2 linked regions of the Drosophila melanogaster genome follow. The protein of the gene in region 2 binds, or shares a complex with, the protein of the main gene of each other region. Each region holds a gene or a part of one and is shown on either strand. Other genes may lie near its edges. The genes, in order: Asx and sba.

What was found.
Region 1: sba (region 2) and Asx share a complex: the UniProt entries of both Drosophila melanogaster proteins name them as parts of the polycomb repressive deubiquitinase (PR-DUB) complex.

What each region holds. Positions count from the first base shown.
Region 1 is NT_033778.4:14,500,283-14,508,950, reverse strand, and holds the start of Asx (additional sex combs), read right to left. Parts: upstream 4,725-8,668; 5' UTR 4,582-4,724; exon of another isoform or gene 4,381-4,581; intron 3,867-4,380; exon of another isoform or gene 3,784-3,866; 5' UTR 3,705-3,783; coding exon 3,469-3,704; intron 3,401-3,468; coding exon 2,470-3,400; intron 2,410-2,469; coding exon 1,806-2,409; intron 1,695-1,805; coding exon 1,602-1,694; intron 1,539-1,601; coding exon 1,470-1,538; intron 1,412-1,469; coding exon 639-1,411; intron 566-638; coding exon 1-565. Other genes in the region: Cpsf160 (cleavage and polyadenylation specificity factor 160), read left to right, coding at 5,587-6,420, 6,490-7,053, 7,112-7,597, 7,655-8,668. UniProt on the Drosophila melanogaster protein: Non-catalytic component of the polycomb repressive deubiquitinase (PR-DUB) complex, a complex that specifically mediates deubiquitination of histone H2A monoubiquitinated at 'Lys-119' (H2AK118ub1).
Region 2 is NT_033777.3:23,917,809-23,926,700, forward strand, and holds the start of sba (six-banded), read right to left. Parts: upstream 5,166-8,892; 5' UTR 5,088-5,165; intron 3,973-5,087; exon of another isoform or gene 3,710-3,972; intron 3,039-3,709; 5' UTR 2,993-3,038; coding exon 2,199-2,992; intron 1-2,198. Other genes in the region: CG31141 (uncharacterized protein), read left to right, coding at 5,570-5,785, 5,845-6,390; Ndc1 (nuclear division cycle 1), read left to right, coding at 6,736-7,133, 7,194-8,532; CG13601 (uncharacterized protein), read right to left, coding at 8,821-8,892. UniProt on the Drosophila melanogaster protein: Non-catalytic component of the polycomb repressive deubiquitinase (PR-DUB) complex, a complex that specifically mediates deubiquitination of histone H2A monoubiquitinated at 'Lys-119' (H2AK118ub1). Important for maintaining stability of the PR-DUB complex.

The sequences.
Region 1 (8,668 bases), on a different chromosome or scaffold from region 2:
AGGCAAACTGCTGAATCTGCTGATGCTTTTGTTGTGCCGTAGCCTGCTGTTGATGTTGCTCCAGTTGTTGCTGCTGCTGCTGCTGATGTTGCTGTGCGATCAGGTTAGGAGACAAGAACTGTTGGGTTCCGTTGCGGAGAGCCACTGGTAATGTCTTGCCCAAGGAATTGCTACTTGTTGCTTGCTGTTGCTGCTGCTGCTGTTGCTGGTGCTGTTGTTGTTGTTGCTGCTGCTGCTGTGCTGCCGCCGCCTGCAGCGTGAACTGTTGTAGTAGTTGCTGTTGCTGTTGTTGGCGTTGCTGCTGAAGCAAAAAGTTGCCAATTATCTGACCATTGGAATCCACCAATATCTGTCTTTGCTGCTGTGCATTGGACTGAGCGTTCTGTTGCGGCTGTTGCGATGCTTGGTGCGGCATTTGATTAATGGTAAGACTGTTGGTGCTGCTGCATAGGCTTATGTTGTTGCTGCTGTCGTTGCTATTGCTACTATTGGTTATCACCGTGCTGGACACTTCCATTTCGGCAGCAGACATTGGTACAGCATCACAGAGCATTTCCTGGCCGATCTAGAAATGGGTGTTAAAACAAAAATGTATGTTAAAACTGCATTTTGGTAATGTTTTCATTGTCTGGACTCACATCATTTCCAAATTCACTATGGGCCTGCGGCATAAACGAATGCTGAGCCAATTGGACGACATCCTGGATATGCAACTGTTGATGATGCTGCTGCTGATTTTGTTGCTGCTGATGCTGCTGCAGTTTGTCCACTATTTCACGGACAGCTTCGCTGTCTTCATCAATTAACTGCTGTTCCTCCGTCATACATTCTACCACTTCATCGTCTTCATCCTCCTCTTGATCACCCTCATCTTCGTCACCGAGAACATCGTGGCACACATCATTGTGCATAATGTCGTCGATGACGTCGGCATCTTGCACTACATCCATCAGATCGATTGCTTCATGGCTTAGATTACGCTGCTGATCTCCGCTTGACTGCGAACTGCTTAACTTAATGTCGCCAAAGTTCCAATCGTGCTGCACATGCTGGTACATTTCATTGGAGTTCAACTCCACGGGTAACTCCTGTTGCTGCTGCTGTAACTTGGCCACAGTTGAAAGCATGGCTTGGACATTTGCCAACGTAGTTTCAGCTGCTGCTGCCAGCGTCAGTGGAGCCGTTGGTGCTCCGGCCGACGATGAAGTTGTGGGCGCGGTCGTCGTCGAGCCGGAATTGCTACTGGAGCACGAAGATGACATTGAGGCGGAGGAAGATGAGGACGATGTGCAGCTGGTCGATGTAATCGAACTGGCCGGCGTCGACCCAGAAATTGAGCTTGCAATGGGGAGCGGTGAGTCCTCCGGCTTATCACTATGCTCTTCCAGTTTATTAGCTGCAGTTGTCGCCGCTGCAAAGAAAACGTGTCATTTTACATTCTTTCAATGCATAAAAATAACTCTGATTACTGTTGGACGATGAAGATGAAGTGAAGAAGTTGTGATTGATAGTGGATTGATGTTCTTGAAAATAGGCTGCTTAAAACCAAAAAACAAGAAACATTAGTTACTTATTCTGGCAATTATACTAGACGAACATACCGTGATCGATAGTATCTGAGAAAACGAAATCATGGCTATTTGTTCCTGTCGTTATATCTGCCTCGTTTGAATTGTCCAAAGGCGCTTTGGTTTCTGCAATAATAGTAATGCCAATTTAAATAAGCCATTTATATGGGTGGAGTACTCTTAATATAGCTAATGCAATGCTATCTATATTGTTCGCTCTGAATAGCTCTTACTTACCAGCTGCTAGTTCGACGTTTTGTAAGTAGCTTACAAATTGGTTAGCCACATCCGGATTTGGTGCTAACGCTTCCGGCTTTGGTGTATGTGGGGTAACGGCAGCAATTGCTGGCATGGCAGCCGCCGATGCAATGGAGTCCACATCTTCCTTAGAATCCACTTGTTTCATGGCAACGATCATCTCCTTACTGCATTCAGATGGCTCAATTTTATCACAGGTACTGTTGATAAGTGGCTGATGTTGTCGCTGATGCTGTTGCTCGTCCTTGATTTTCATTTCGACTGCAGAGTGATCCACAACATCAACCATTGGAGCTGCGACAACATTCCCTGACGCATTAGGAACAATTTCGTCCATCTTCGGCTGCTTGCTGTCCTTTGATGTGCTGGGCAGCTCGTCGAGATCATCGTCCAAATTAATGGTCGCTATCGTTGTGGGTGCCTGCTTGCGCTGCGAAGGACTGCTCGATGGACGTTTGAGGACACGGCGTTGCTGTTCGTTAAGCACATTATTCTGGCTGCCAGTGGGTGGAAACGTGCTTGATTTATCTGCTACTGCCACTGCTACTGTAGTTTTAGCTGATGTCGTTTCGCACTTTGTGCTCTGCAAGTTTTTCAATAATATAACTGGGATATAAATAATGGGGAATATTTGGTAACTTACCAAATCAAATTTTAATTCAGTCTCATTATCACATGTTGCTTGTTGCAGTGGTTTTTGTTGCGATGTCGCTGGTGGTTTGGGCTCACTCTTAATGCTTGCCGAAAGCTTCTGATTCTTGCAATCGCTTTCTAACTTATCCTTATCCTTCCCCCTAGAATTCTTCTCGCCCCAGAAGGGCTCAAAGTGTTTCAGCTTCCAGGGATCCAACTTGTTCTTTTCGCGCTCTGCTTCCGTTTTAAGTTTCAGCTGGTTTTCGGGTGTAAACTCGCCTTCGCTTAGTCGTTCCCGCCACTCCAAGCAGGCTCGGGCAAAAAACTCGTTGTTTAGACAGGAGGCACTTAGCCTTATAGCCTCCGATGGACTGCCTCCACTTGCGCTACTGCTAGGTTGCTCTAGTTCGCTGGCCTCGCGATCCACGCTGGGCAGCAGTTGTATGAGATTGTATTGATAGAGCGGTGGCAAAAGCGAGAACGTTTGCTTGTTCAACAGCGCTCTTAAGTTGGTGGAGGCCAGTATGGAGTCGGGGGTCTCCAGGTCGATCTTTCCGTCTTTTGTTTGCTCAATCTGCGCTGCTGTCGTCAGCTTCTTATTGCTCCTCCGACGGGGCTTAACACTAAAACCGGGTATGGAGGCCAGGACCTCCCGCATGGTCGAAGCTTGAGAGGTGCCCGCCTTGCTGCCGGGTGAGATGGCGGATGGATAGCTGGAGGTGGCTTGGGCTTGTGCTGCGGCCGCTGCTGCTGCTGCTGCCGCCGCTGCTGCCGCCGCCGCTGCTGCTGCCGCTTTGACCTGTTGCTGTTGCTGAATGCGTCGGCTGCATATTAAACGCGTGGGCGGGGCAGGAGCAGTACTGACGGCAGCCTCTTCGCTGGGCGCCATCGGTTTCTTCTCAGGTGGTATTGGTTTCACGATAATGCGTGGCAGGTGGCGTCTGGAATAAAATTAGTATAGAAATTTAGAGATTCTCGTGGCGCTCGGGTAAATCGTTTTAGAACTAACCTGAGACTGTGTGTGTGCTTGGTAGACGGTGACACTTCCAGTTGCTCCAGCGCAAGAGGATCCTTCTCGTCGTCGTCCACCAGATTCACATGCTCCATTATCATCGTAGGCGGTGGAGCGGCCAACAGGGATTGCTGCTGCAGCATCGGCTGGTGATGCTGATCCGCTTGTGGAATGAGAAGTTGTTGGTGCTGCGACGACGTCGTCGTCGTCGTATCCGGCGTAATGGTTTTCATTGTTAATCGCTCTGCCTAATCTATTTACAGCGAACTTTTGATCCATGCACCCATGTCAAGCAAGTTTCTTCCGCACACACTGGAAATGTTGAGAAATAGATAATTTAATATTATTTTTTTGTTAACAATGAAATAGTTTTGTTATGTGATGGTTTATTTGGATATAAATTAAAAACAGAGCATTAATTCTTTACTTTAAATTGCTTGGCAACTTGACAATGATCATATACAAATGCAAAATGATGTGTAACAAAAATGAATGTAACTTCTTATAGTTTTCAAATTTAAATTTGTTTATTTGATTTATCCGTGTTGGGGTTCAGCCAATATTGCTTGTTTTTAACATTTTCAAGCTTCCCAGTCGATTTTAGATGCCATATTAGATGGCAAAACTAGTTTTTGGTTAATACTATAGTGCACGAAATTAATCCTGATCGGCTGCACTAACGAATTGTCCATTTTAAGGCAAAAAGTGTCTGTATAATTTTAACGTTGCGCCCTTTGTATATGTATGTACGTCATCTGTGTGCATGTATGTGCGCATATATTTCGTTAGAAGTGTGTGCGTGTGTTTTATTTTTTTATATGTAATGAAATTGCGGCTATACGGAGATTTTTCCGTTTGTTATGCCTTAGTTTTAATTATTGTTTTTGTTTTCCTCACGACTTTTCTCACTTGCCAGCAGTAATTTTAAACAAATCAACAATGTAACAGCAGTAACAACAACAAATACGAACGACCTGCAAAGTTGGTTATATTTTTTTCTCACGCACGCATACACATACACACAAACACACACAAATGCACACTAGCACATCGGAGAAGTAGAAAAATGACTTTTGTTCCTATTTAAGTAACTAATTGCGGGTATTTTACCTATTTATGGTACGGATTTAGATCTGTACTAGAGCACTATCTTTTGCATAATGCCGATTTCCGCCTCGTTAATGGCTCACTAAATTAAATATTGAATGGGGGAAATGTGAATGCCAAACACACAAACAAAGCAGCTACAAAATGATTCTTTTCTAGCCAACTATGCCGGTCCCTTTCTGGCGCACGCGTTTTCCCGTATCGGGCGCAGCGCCCGTTTCTCTCTCACACTCACTATGCAGAAAAGCTGCGTTTAATTGAATGAAATTGTTTAAGTTACTACAACGCAAACACTAGTCACTAATCACACCAACTAGTTAATGTTTTTTCGTGGCCAGTTTTAAACGCAAAACGCTCGAATTTCTGGCTGCCCTGCCAAGTCCGATGGGGTTGTTGATGTCGCATCCGATACATCGGATAGGAGCGGATGTATTTGCGCAGTCACTGCTCCCGCACCAGGGCTGCCAACTATCGATTGAACGATCAGGTCAAGAAGTAGCTAGAAATAAGCTGGCAAATATGAAGCGTTACGTACGTAGCGGTTATTTGATTTTAAGTTATGTTACATTTACGTACATATATAATATAATTGTATAACGTGTGCATACAAAATAATTGTTATAAAAATATACAAGCTCTAAGACCAAAATGCACTATAAATAATTTCTAAATGTTTAGACTCGTAACTTATGCAAATACGTAACATACGTATCATTTTACATGTTCAGATAAAAAAATATAGCTTTTATTTGGTCAAATACATTTTGCAAGATATTAACTAACGAAATACTTAAAAACCGCTAAAACAAAAAGCAAGACAAAAATCAAGCCAATATGGTATTCCACCCACTAAAACGGCGAACAAGTTTTCACATCCAATGAGCGATAACTTTGCACCCACAATCGATAGTTCCGCAGCTGCTGTGTGTGTTGGGCCGGCAAATTGTTAAACTGGCTGAAATTGTTAATAATGTTTTAAGAAATTGCGACACCAATTAAACCACCGCAATGTTTTCGATGTGCAAGCAGACGCACTCCGCCACGGCGGTGGAGTTTTCGATAGCATGCCGCTTCTTTAACAATCTGGATGAGAACCTGGTGGTGGCGGGCGCCAATGTACTAAAGGTGTACCGGATAGCGCCCAACGTGGAGGCGAGCCAGCGTCAAAAGCTGAATCCCAGCGAGATGCGTCTGGCGCCCAAAATGCGACTGGAATGCCTAGCCACATATACGCTCTACGGCAATGTGATGTCGCTGCAGTGCGTCTCATTGGCGGGTGCCATGCGGGATGCGCTGTTGATTAGTTTCAAGGACGCGAAATTGTCCGTACTGCAGCACGATCCCGATACGTTTGCGCTGAAAACTCTCTCACTTCACTATTTCGAGGAAGATGACATACGTGGTGGTTGGACGGGTCGCTATTTTGTGCCCACAGTTCGCGTAGATCCCGATTCCAGGTGTGCCGTCATGTTGGTCTACGGCAAACGGCTGGTGGTACTGCCCTTTCGCAAGGACAACAGCCTGGACGAGATCGAGCTAGCGGATGTGAAGCCAATTAAAAAGGCTCCGACGGCAATGGTCAGCAGGACGCCTATTATGGCATCGTACCTGATAGCACTGCGAGATCTTGATGAGAAGATCGACAATGTTCTGGACATACAATTCCTGCACGGCTACTACGAACCAACGCTGCTTATACTCTACGAACCGGTGCGAACCTGTCCGGGAAGAATAAAGGTGCGCTCCGATACTTGCGTTTTGGTGGCCATTTCGTTGAACATTCAACAGCGAGTGCATCCGATTATTTGGACCGTGAACAGTCTACCTTTTGACTGCCTACAAGTGGGTGTTTGAAAATGCCACTTACCTTTTAGGAGTCACAACGTTTAATGTGTCATTTTTCCCTTGCAGGTTTACCCGATTCAGAAGCCAATTGGGGGTTGTCTGGTAATGACAGTCAATGCTGTAATCTATCTCAATCAGAGTGTCCCTCCATATGGCGTCAGTTTAAACAGTTCAGCGGATAACAGCACCGCATTTCCACTGAAGCCACAGGATGGCGTTCGTATTAGTTTGGATTGTGCTAACTTTGCATTTATTGATGTCGACAAGCTGGTAATCTCGCTTCGCACTGGAGATCTATACGTGCTTACGCTTTGCGTTGACTCAATGAGAACGGTTAGGAACTTCCATTTCCACAAAGCAGCCGCCAGTGTGCTAACTAGTTGTATCTGCGTTCTGCACTCCGAATACATATTTTTGGGATCACGTCTCGGAAATTCCTTATTGCTGCACTTTACAGAGGAGGACCAGAGCACGGTCATTACGTTAGATGAGGTGGAACAGCAATCGGAGCAGCAGCAAAGGAATCTGCAGGACGAGGATCAGAATTTGGAGGAAATTTTTGATGTAGATCAATTGGAAATGGCACCGACCCAAGCAAAATCGCGTCGTATTGAGGATGAGGAACTAGAGGTTTGTAAACAATATACTTAAAGTTTTGAATTGTTTTTAAATTTGATCGTTTTTACAGGTGTATGGTTCTGGAGCTAAGGCATCGGTTCTTCAGCTGCGAAAATTCATATTTGAGGTGTGCGACAGTCTAATGAATGTAGCACCAATCAACTACATGTGCGCCGGAGAAAGAGTGGAATTCGAAGAGGATGGCGTTACGTTGCGACCACATGCGGAATCTCTGCAAGATCTAAAGATAGAACTAGTCGCTGCCACGGGTCACAGCAAAAACGGAGCTCTGTCCGTATTTGTAAACTGCATTAATCCTCAAATCATAACAAGCTTTGAGTTAGATGGGTGCCTCGATGTGTGGACTGTGTTTGATGATGCCACTAAGAAGTCTTCGCGAAATGATCAGCATGATTTCATGTTGCTTTCACAAAGGAATTCTACATTGGTTTTACAAACAGGACAGGAAATTAATGAAATCGAGAATACGGGCTTTACGGTTAACCAGCCGACCATATTTGTCGGTAATCTCGGACAGCAGCGGTTCATTGTTCAGGTTAGTTTGAGGTCGTATTAATGGTATTTTGTATATAATTATTTCTTTATTCATTAGGTCACCACCCGTCATGTCAGATTATTGCAAGGAACTCGATTAATTCAAAATGTCCCCATTGATGTGGGCTCGCCAGTGGTACAGGTGTCCATAGCAGATCCCTACGTTTGCCTGCGAGTGCTCAACGGTCAGGTTATCACATTAGCGCTGCGAGAAACCCGTGGAACTCCTCGTTTGGCTATCAACAAGCATACCATTAGCAGCTCACCCGCAGTGGTTGCCATTTCGGCATATAAAGATTTATCAGGACTATTCACAGTGAAAGGTGATGATATAAACCTGACCGGCAGCTCAAACAGTGCATTTGGACATAGTTTTGGCGGCTACATGAAGGCCGAGCCCAACATGAAGGTGGAGGACGAAGAAGATCTGCTCTACGGCGATGCCGGAAGTGCCTTCAAGATGAACAGCATGGCGGATTTGGCGAAACAATCAAAACAAAAGAACTCGGACTGGTGGCGACGCCTTCTTGTGCAAGCAAAGCCCAGCTATTGGTTAGTGGTTGCCCGTCAGAGTGGCACCTTGGAGATCTACTCAATGCCGGACATGAAGCTTGTGTATCTCGTAAACGATGTGGGCAATGGTTCAATGGTTCTTACGGATGCAATGGAATTCGTGCCGATTTCACTGACCACGCAGGAGAACTCGAAGGCGGGCATTGTACAGGCTTGTATGCCGCAGCATGCTAACTCTCCACTGCCATTGGAATTGAGTGTAATAGGCTTGGGTCTAAATGGAGAAAGACCTTTACTTTTGGTCAGGACTCGAGTAGAGCTGCTAATATACCAGGTGTTCCGATATCCCAAGGGTCACCTGAAGATACGTTTCCGAAAGATGGATCAACTGAATTTGCTGGACCAACAGCCGACGCATATTGACTTGGATGAGAACGATGAGCAGGAGGAGATAGAATCTTATCAAATGCAACCAAAGTATGTCCAAAAACTACGACCATTCGCCAACGTTGGAGGACTCTCCGGCGTTATGGTATGCGGCGTCAATCCTTGCTTTGTT
Region 2 (8,892 bases):
GGCCAAAAACTATTCCGCATTCTTTAGCAGTTTTTCAGGCTAGCGGGGCGCTTCGCTACCCGCTTTTCCCTGCCTTCTTTTCCATTCGATTCGATCGCCGGCGATCTCCAGCTGCCGTTTTGGATTTATGATTTATGCGCCCGTTGCCGCACAGTGGGCGTCCTGCCTTCCACTTCCACTTCCAGTGCCACTCCGACTACTTCGACTACTTCGACTACGACTAACGACTTCGTTTGACTCTGACCCGGTCACAGTATTAAATCCGCCCTCTGCTGATGTCACGTTGCGCCAAAAAACCATTTAGCACTTGTGCAAACAACGACGGTAGAGGCAAAGGCAGCAAGATTTAAATGCTTGCGCAACAATTATTGATTTGGTACACAATTTGTGCAACATTCTTTCCGAGAAATAGCCAAAACGAAGGCAACGGAGCGAACGCCAAAGACGGAAGCTAAACAAAAAGGGGCATTCATAGAGCCAGAGGTGCTGGATTCGCTTACTTGAGGGTCTAGAAATATATAGGGTATGGTATGTTTACCCAGATTATTAGAGCATTTTAACATGGAAATCTTATATAGTAAATTCGTTTTATTTAATTTCCGACATTGTGGATATATACTTCCATTTTGTGTGACCGGTTTGACTAGAATAAAAGGAGTGACTGCTCTCGGTTCACCCCTGTTTTTTTAAAGCTACTTACAGAGCACATATTTTTTGCGAATTTCAGCTACTTTTGTCACCCAAAATTCAGAATACACCGCTGGCAAACCAACGGGCTAACTGGCTTACGGATACACGAAAAAGAATGCTCAACTCGAAAATTTGCAAAGGGGGCCATGGCGACCATCCATCCGCTTGGGCAAACAGCAAATAGCAACCAGCAACACGCAACGTGGAAATGAGCAGCAGCTGCTGCTGCTGCTGTAGTTGCTTCTGCTGGTGGTGGACAATGACAACGCTTGACACACGATGTCGTGTTGTCACCGGGCACAAGTAAATACCAGTGGGCAAAGGACGTTGATGGCGAGGACGTGAACGTGGCAGCCAGCGGTGCCCTCAAAGCGTGTCCTGGAAGGGTAATGGCCCAGAGAGTGACTGACTGACTGGATGGCTGGTCGGTTGAGTGAAATGTGACATTGCCAGTAAATGGACTGCGTCGGATAAGCTGCAACTTCTTGACGCCCCAAACTACGTGAGTCGAGTGCCAAGGCTCAATAATCATAATCATGGCTGTCATAATGAGAATCTCGGCTCGAAAAACAAACAACATGCCCCCTGGTAGCTTTCAATCTGCCAATTGAGCGAGGCATTGGCATTCGCATTCGCATCCATAATCCGTACAAGTGGTTCGAAAAGCAGTTATCCCAGTGCCACAGACCATTCAACCAACCAGCCAGCCAGGCAACCCTTTTCTGGGCAAATGAGCCCGGGGCAACAGCTGCGAGGGAAACTATCCCAACGAGACGAGTCAAGCGCTCAGAAGTGCCAGCCACTTATAAAATCAACAATTACCCAACATCGGCAACAGCCACAAACCAACATCGCCAACAGTTTGCACAGAGCCCGAAAAAAAAAACAGAAAACAAGAAGAAATGCTGAAATACTGTGACTGAGCCCCTCTTTTTTGGCCCTGGGGGCGATTGGACAGCCAGAACAATTACAAGTACCCGGGCAAGCAGATATGTATATCCACATACTCGATGCTTTTCAGCATATCTGAGCAAACATTTTATTTGCGTTTGTAATTATGTGTGCTTGATGATAACTCGCAGATAATGCCAGGTAAATATTTACCCTCGAGCCGTTGATGGTTGCTAGTTGTTGATGTTGTGCTGTTGTGCCTGGTTGCAAAAACATTTCTGACACGACTACTGCAACCCCCCAGACGCCCACTAAACAACATGCGCCCCCCCCCCCCCCCCACACTTCTGACGGCTCTGACCCCGCTAACCCCCATGGACAGTGGCATTTCCTGTAGCGCGAGGGGATCGCTGAACATTTTTATGGCTTCTCGAATGCGTTTGCGTTCGCCAGACAATAACCAGATTGACTTTTAGCCCGGCCCGGCCCGGCCAAACGTGCTGTAAGTGTCATGTCAGTACAACACAGCACAGCGACGGAGCCAACAAGCAATGCTCAACCTGGGAGATATCCTGTGGCCACAGATGTACCCAGATACTATCCAACCGACTACTCACCTGATATAGGCCACCTCATTGTTGTTGGTCAAGCGACGCCAGCCGGGGGCCAAATTTCCATTGTAGCTAGTGGCCGTCTTCCTGTTGATATTGCCATTGCTACTGGCATTGTTGGCTTTGGCAACATTCTTGGCATAGAGCTGATTGTTCTGACTCATTTGACGCGCCGCAATTGTTGTCGACATGCAATGCGTTGCCCCAGTAGCAGCAGTTGCAGCAGCAACAGTTGCTGCCGTTACTCCCGTTGTTGCCGCTGACTTTATTGGCAACTTTATTTGCGCCTGGCGCTGTTTGGTTTGTTGCTGTTGTTGCTGCTGCTGCTGTTGCTGCTGCTGTTGCAAAAGGAGCTGCTGGTTGCTGGTGGGGCAGACAAATATGTGCTGCTGACTGTTTCGCTGCTGCTGTTGCTGCTGCAGATGCAGATTTGCTACTTGCATCATGTTGCCGCTGCCATTGCCGTTTACCAAGCCAGCTGGTAATATCTGTTGCTGTTGCTGGTGTTGCTGCTGCTGCTGCTGCTGATGATGATGTTGCTGCTGCTGCTGATGCACCGCTGCACTTGTAACGACCCGCGATACAAATTTCGTTTGTTGCTGCTGGAAAAACTGATGATGTTGCTGCTGCAGAGGCAACATTTGCTGCTGCTGCTTGAACATATTGATCTGTTGATGCTGCTGCTGATGTTGCTGCTGATGTTGCATCCCGCTGACCACCGTCTCAGCACTCCCAGCTATGTTCAGCTTGTGCTGGTGCTGATGTTGCTGCTGTTGCTGGCCAGCAGATGCGGCGGCCATGGCGATAAAAGCAGCCGTTCAGGAGAACTCCTTCGCAATTCAAAGCCTGCAAAGAATTCAAGGGAATTCCCGGATTAGTCACAGCCAAGACTAGAACATTCAGAGAATAATCATTTACATTGAGTATTATTCAAATAAGAATTATAAGCATTATAACCTCTATCACACTCTAATTAATTCCCCATACACATTCTTATAAACCCATTAATTAAGGGCTTGCTTCCAATTGTATAGCAAAAACTTTTAATATCATAAATGCGTTCAAATATTCAAAAATTTTTTGGAAAATCCGTTCTCTTCAGACATGACTCTGCATTTAAACAATTAACCTATTGTTATTTACAGTGGAGGTCTTCATGTCTTTGTTTCTACGTTTTCGGTTGACTCATTGACTTTAATCGAATGGAATTGCGTTGCGGCCTTTGTTTTGCTCCACAAGTTGACCACTTACAAAGTAGCCGAATTGAGGGCCAATCAGGGTTTATGCGCTGCGCGTGTAATGAACGTGGAAGTGGACTAAATCTGGTTTATCCGCCATCTCACGCACAAGCAACAGCAAGGCGGCAAGAAGGGGAAAAACCACAAGGTTGTAAACCCAAAGTCGCACTTAAATAGATACTGCTAACTGGACGATCGTATAAACGACAAATCGTAGGCCGCACCTTTTGTTATTTATGCGTTGTTAAGTTTCTGCCCCTTATTCTGCTATTCGCTCACCTTTTAGCTTGCTTTTCGCTTTGCTCATTTGCCAGCATATTAAATTAATTTTGAGTTATTGTGTAAACGAGACGCGGCCATGTCATGTTCATGTTTTTTTTATGGTTTCTTTTCCTTTTGTTTAAAACACTTAATTTCACTTTTTTTTTGCAATGATATTATTTTGTATTCCACTCTCTGCTTCTTTTGTAGCTGTAATAATGCGACAACGACGTTTGCGTTTAGATGCGTATTGTGTTGTTTGTACACGGGTAGGAAAATATCTGTATGTTTAAAATTTTTGCATATATTTTAAATATTTTAATTAATTTACGTGGCACAACATTTGACCACAGAAAGGTGCTCTTTATCAAGGTAACGTAATGCTACGCTCATAGAAAGGTGCTATCATTAGCCCTTAAGTGCTTAATAGTGTTTGTTTTGATTATTTCTTTTGGTGTACAATCTCATGACTTCATTTGGAATTCAGAAAACGAACGTCAGCAGTGGCGAATCGAGTGAAAAGTGGTGAGCAGAGAGCGCAGAGCGCGTAAAAGTAGGTGAATGGAGCATGAAGTGAAGACACCGAAGGCAGTGAGCGAGAGGAAAGGAGAGAGCGCGCGAGGGGGAGGCATCACCCACACCACCTCCCATCTCCCTTTCCCTCTCTGTCTCACTCATTCGCTCTCCGCTGCGTTGTTAAGATTAGCACAATTTGCAGACCATATTTTAAGTAGTATAATTAATGCGTGCCCGTTCGTTTGTTTGTTTGTTTGCCTCTGCTGCACGGTGGACAATACGGCACAGTGGGCAATAGCCACCACCTGCCCTGCGGTTCTGCTCCGGCGATCAGCGACAACACAAACAACACGAGAGCAGAGCGTAAGGGGCAGAGGAGGGGGAGGGGGTAGAGCAGCTGTTCGCCTTGGGCAGTGGGATGAAAACGAACATTGGTGGCTATCTCGGTGCACTGGTATGGGTATTGGGCAATCGCACACACACACACACACACAGGCACATGTACGATACGCGTGCCTATGCTGCGGTTTACTGCTGCTATAATATGTACAAAGTGACCTCAATACGCATTACGCTACAAGAGACACACAACAAACACACGACAACCAACTGACGACTGCACTTCGCTTTGGGCTTTATTATGCACAGACTCGGATTACGCCAAATGCCAATTAAATATGAATTAATTACAACAATTTTGTGTCGCTCGATTCGATTCACGCAATATTATGGCTCGCTCTCATTCTCTCTTTCTGGCCTGCTCTCTCACTCTCATTGGCAAACGCGCACACAAAATTTATATTTTTTTTTTTATTTCAACTTCACGAATTTTATGACTTTTATTCACTTTCATTTGCGGCCAATTGGACACATTACACACCTTATTGCGCTGCGTTTGCGGCGGCGGCGAGTGCGCACATTTGTTTTGGAATTTGTATGCTGTATTTAACGGAAAATCGACGAATCGACGACCGTAACTCCGTGCACTTTTCCGACCGCGACAACAACAAAATGTGATGTGACCGAAGGCGGACGTCTGTAAAATGCCAAAGCTACGACCTGAGCAATCGATAGTTCGGTGATGCCAGATTATATCATCGATTCTAGAATCGATATCGGACTTATCGATCAGCCAACGGTATGGCAAGGCTGTTTCCAAATAACAGTGGCAATTAAATTTATTTAAGTTTATTTAATTTGGTATTGCACACAAATCAATCTAACTTGCCTAGGGAAATTACTCAATTAAGAAGTAAGCATACAATATTTTTAGGCTTTCATTAGAAAACACGTGACAGCAAGGCGGTTCATCAGTTGTTTTATTTGTCAAATTGAAAAGTACACAATAATTAGGTAACAGAAATGTTGGAAATATTTAGGACGCCCTATGCGGACTCCAAACAGCTGCCGTTGGCAACTGGACCCGGTCCCATCATAATTATCCTCATTGGATACCTTCTGGTAGTTTTTAAGGCCGGCAGGAAGTTCATGGAGCATCGAGAACCTTATAATCTGCGAAAAGTGCTTAAGTACTATAACATGTTCCAGATATTCTACAATATAATGATGCTCCTGCCCGTGAGTTGAAATTTTGAGCCTACATTCTTTTCTTCAATTGATAAAAGCTTCTTCCGTAGGGATACTACTTCATGTTGGTATTCCAACCGTACAACTTTCGCTGCATGACTGTCCTGCAGCAGGATCATCCGCTGAAGAACTGGGAGCGCTGCATCAGCTATGCTTACTACATAAACAAGATCGTTGACCTGCTTGACACCGTGTTCTGCGTGCTGCGCAAGAAGTACTCGCAAATAACGTTTTTGCACGTTTTCCACCACGTCCTGATGCCATCCGCCGGATACTTGATAATACGATTCTATGGCTACGGAGGTCAACTCTTCTTCCTGTGCTCCTTCAATGTATTCGTTCATATCTTCATGTATGCCTATTACTATTCGGCCATCAAGGGCAATACGGTGCGTTGGAAGCGGTACTTGACCCTCATGCAAATGCTGCAGTTCCTCCTCATGTTTGGCCATTGCGCCTTAACCGCCATGCAGCGGCAGTGCACTGCATCGCAGGGAACCCTCTTTCTGGTCAGCTGCTCCGCGACCATCATGTTTATCATGTTCGCCAACTTTTATTTCCAGTGCTACCTGAGACCGAAGCATAAGGAGAACTAAAACTTAAATTAGGTCGAAAATTGAAGATATACTAATTTAGTCATACGTTTTTATGAGCCATTTTAATGGTGAACTTTCTAGATTTACAAAATTGTGCTTTGTAATTAAAAAGATAAATTTCAAAAAACCGTTTTCCATTAGGGTTTCTCACTACGAACATCAAATGAGTTATCGATTACGGGCAGCTCCACTTTCCGCATGCGGTCACACTTAAAAGTGCAACAACGCGCGCGTTGTCGGCAACCGTCGAATATTTGCAATTAGTCGCGAAATCAATTAGAAAACTATAGAATTAAATCAAATTATTGGTGATACCTCGATGGTCTAGCAGTTCGGAGCGCAAACATGTCTGCTAGCTCCTCCAGCAACGCTTGCAAGCTCTTGCTGCTCGGCCGCTGCCTGCGCGCCGTGCTCCTCAGCGTGGCCATCCAATTCCTGCTGCTCACAGTGTTCCTGCTGTTTGTGAACTTCCAACTGTTGCATCCGCTCGCCTGGGTGACGGGAACACTGCGTCTGGTAGCCAGTTGGTACACCTGGTTTGCCAGCATCCCTCTGGTGGCCTCCGTCGTGCTCTACGGTGTGATTCTTTGCCAGCAGCACTTGTCGGAGCGACGCTACTGCCCAACCCGCTACCGGTGGCTCCTGCACTACGGTCCACGCAAGGTGCTCTTTCTGTTCGCCCACCTTCTGGTCGGTCTGCTGACCGCCTGGCTCTACACGGGCTATCTGCACACAGACTATCAGTAAGTATACCTACAGTTGGTTTGAATTCGGTCAATACCTATGATTCCTTTTATTTCCAGACACCTGAAATATAAGTGCTATGGCCAGGATTGCATTAGTGCTTACAATGTCTATCTATTAGGCATCGGTATGACCGCCGGCTGCTACTACTTTGTCTCCGTTCACATGCGCAAGGAGATCTCCATTGAATTTCCCATTGTGGAGCAATCGCGGGCGGAGAAGATGCGAGAGCTGCTCTACGCCAGTTTGGCCAAATCTCTATTAAGTTCGCTGCTGCCTACGATCAGTTACACCGCCGTATTTTGTCTTTTCGGACCCATGGTATGCCACAGACTTAGTCACATTCTCTCTGTGGACATGGACGAGCGACTGGATGGATTCTTCGGAGTTGTTACCAATGTGCGCCTGCTTTTTTACGGCTATTTGCTGACCGCACAGATTTTGAGCAACATGCACCTAATGCGTTGCTTTTACGGCATTCTGCTCTCGGAGGATTTGCCACTGGTGGTGACTAAACCGCGAGCTGCTTTTGCCCATGAACAGGATATAACCTTGGTAGCGGGTCTCGGAGTTTTCAATGTGTATGTAGTGCAGTGCCTTGCTGCTCATCATTTCTACAAGCTGGCGTTGCGAAAGAACTCGCCACAACGGGCAGAGATATTCCAGCTGACTGAGCCGGGTAACCGGCCAGCAAGTTGGCGCTCCCTCTGCGACCAATGCTTGAGCATTCTCGGCAGCTTTACCGAAGAACTAACCGAGTCGATGCAGAAGATAAGTATACTCAAGTGCGCCCAGAGTCTGCCGATGCCGAAGATAACCGAATCGCTTACAACTAGCTTGATGGCCGAGAAGGTGTTGCTGCGGCAATACAACCAGAAACACGGCATTCGACCCATTGTATCGCCCAGTCGCGAGGTTGCTGTTGAAAGTCCAGCGGATGGCATCCGTCATTTTCCCAACTGGTGTGAGCGTGTATCCACGCAGTTGGAGCAGTCCCTACAACGGTTGCTACAGCGCGTTCCCGGCATTGTGTACTTATTCAACGAACCCGAAGGTGCCAAGACGACGTTTCTGCTGGCCAACTCCCTGCCCGTAGTGTATATGACTCAGGCTCTGGCTCAGGTGTGCGCAGCCTCGCTCAAAGAGGATCCATATGGAGTAGTGCAGAACGATTTGCCTGCTATCATCAAGGCGATCAACAAGCTGCGAAATGAGCTAGATAAGCTAAGTAGCGTGATAGGCAACATAAGGATATCCAGCTCTAGCTTTAACGTGCTTCGATGCGCAGTGCGACGCAGTCTGTACGCCATCTGTTTGTCGTTTTGCGACTATCTGGACGATCTGCTACCCCCTGGAGAGGAACTGCGCCAGCTGCAGGACCTCGTCTGCCAGGAGTAAACCCATCCATCACTTTATACACTCATCTTGTACACTGTTTTGCATCTCTTTAGTTGTTTGTCTGCGGTAACAATAAAAATTAATAAATATAACTACAAACGTCCAATAGTTATAGAATACTATTGACTTTTATACTTAAAGTACGAAATGGTAACACGCGATTTGATCATAACTAGCACTGATGAAATGGTCTGCAGGTTGAATGTGTACAAGCGGGCGGCCTTACTGTTCCTCCATCGCCACTGCCATCATGAGCAGGGCCAGATCCTGCTCTAGCTGCCGCTTTGGTCAAAGGTCGGCTGCTTTTGTAGGCAGTGAGCTGGCAACGGCAACGGTGGCTGCCTCTCCCAGAGACTGCTC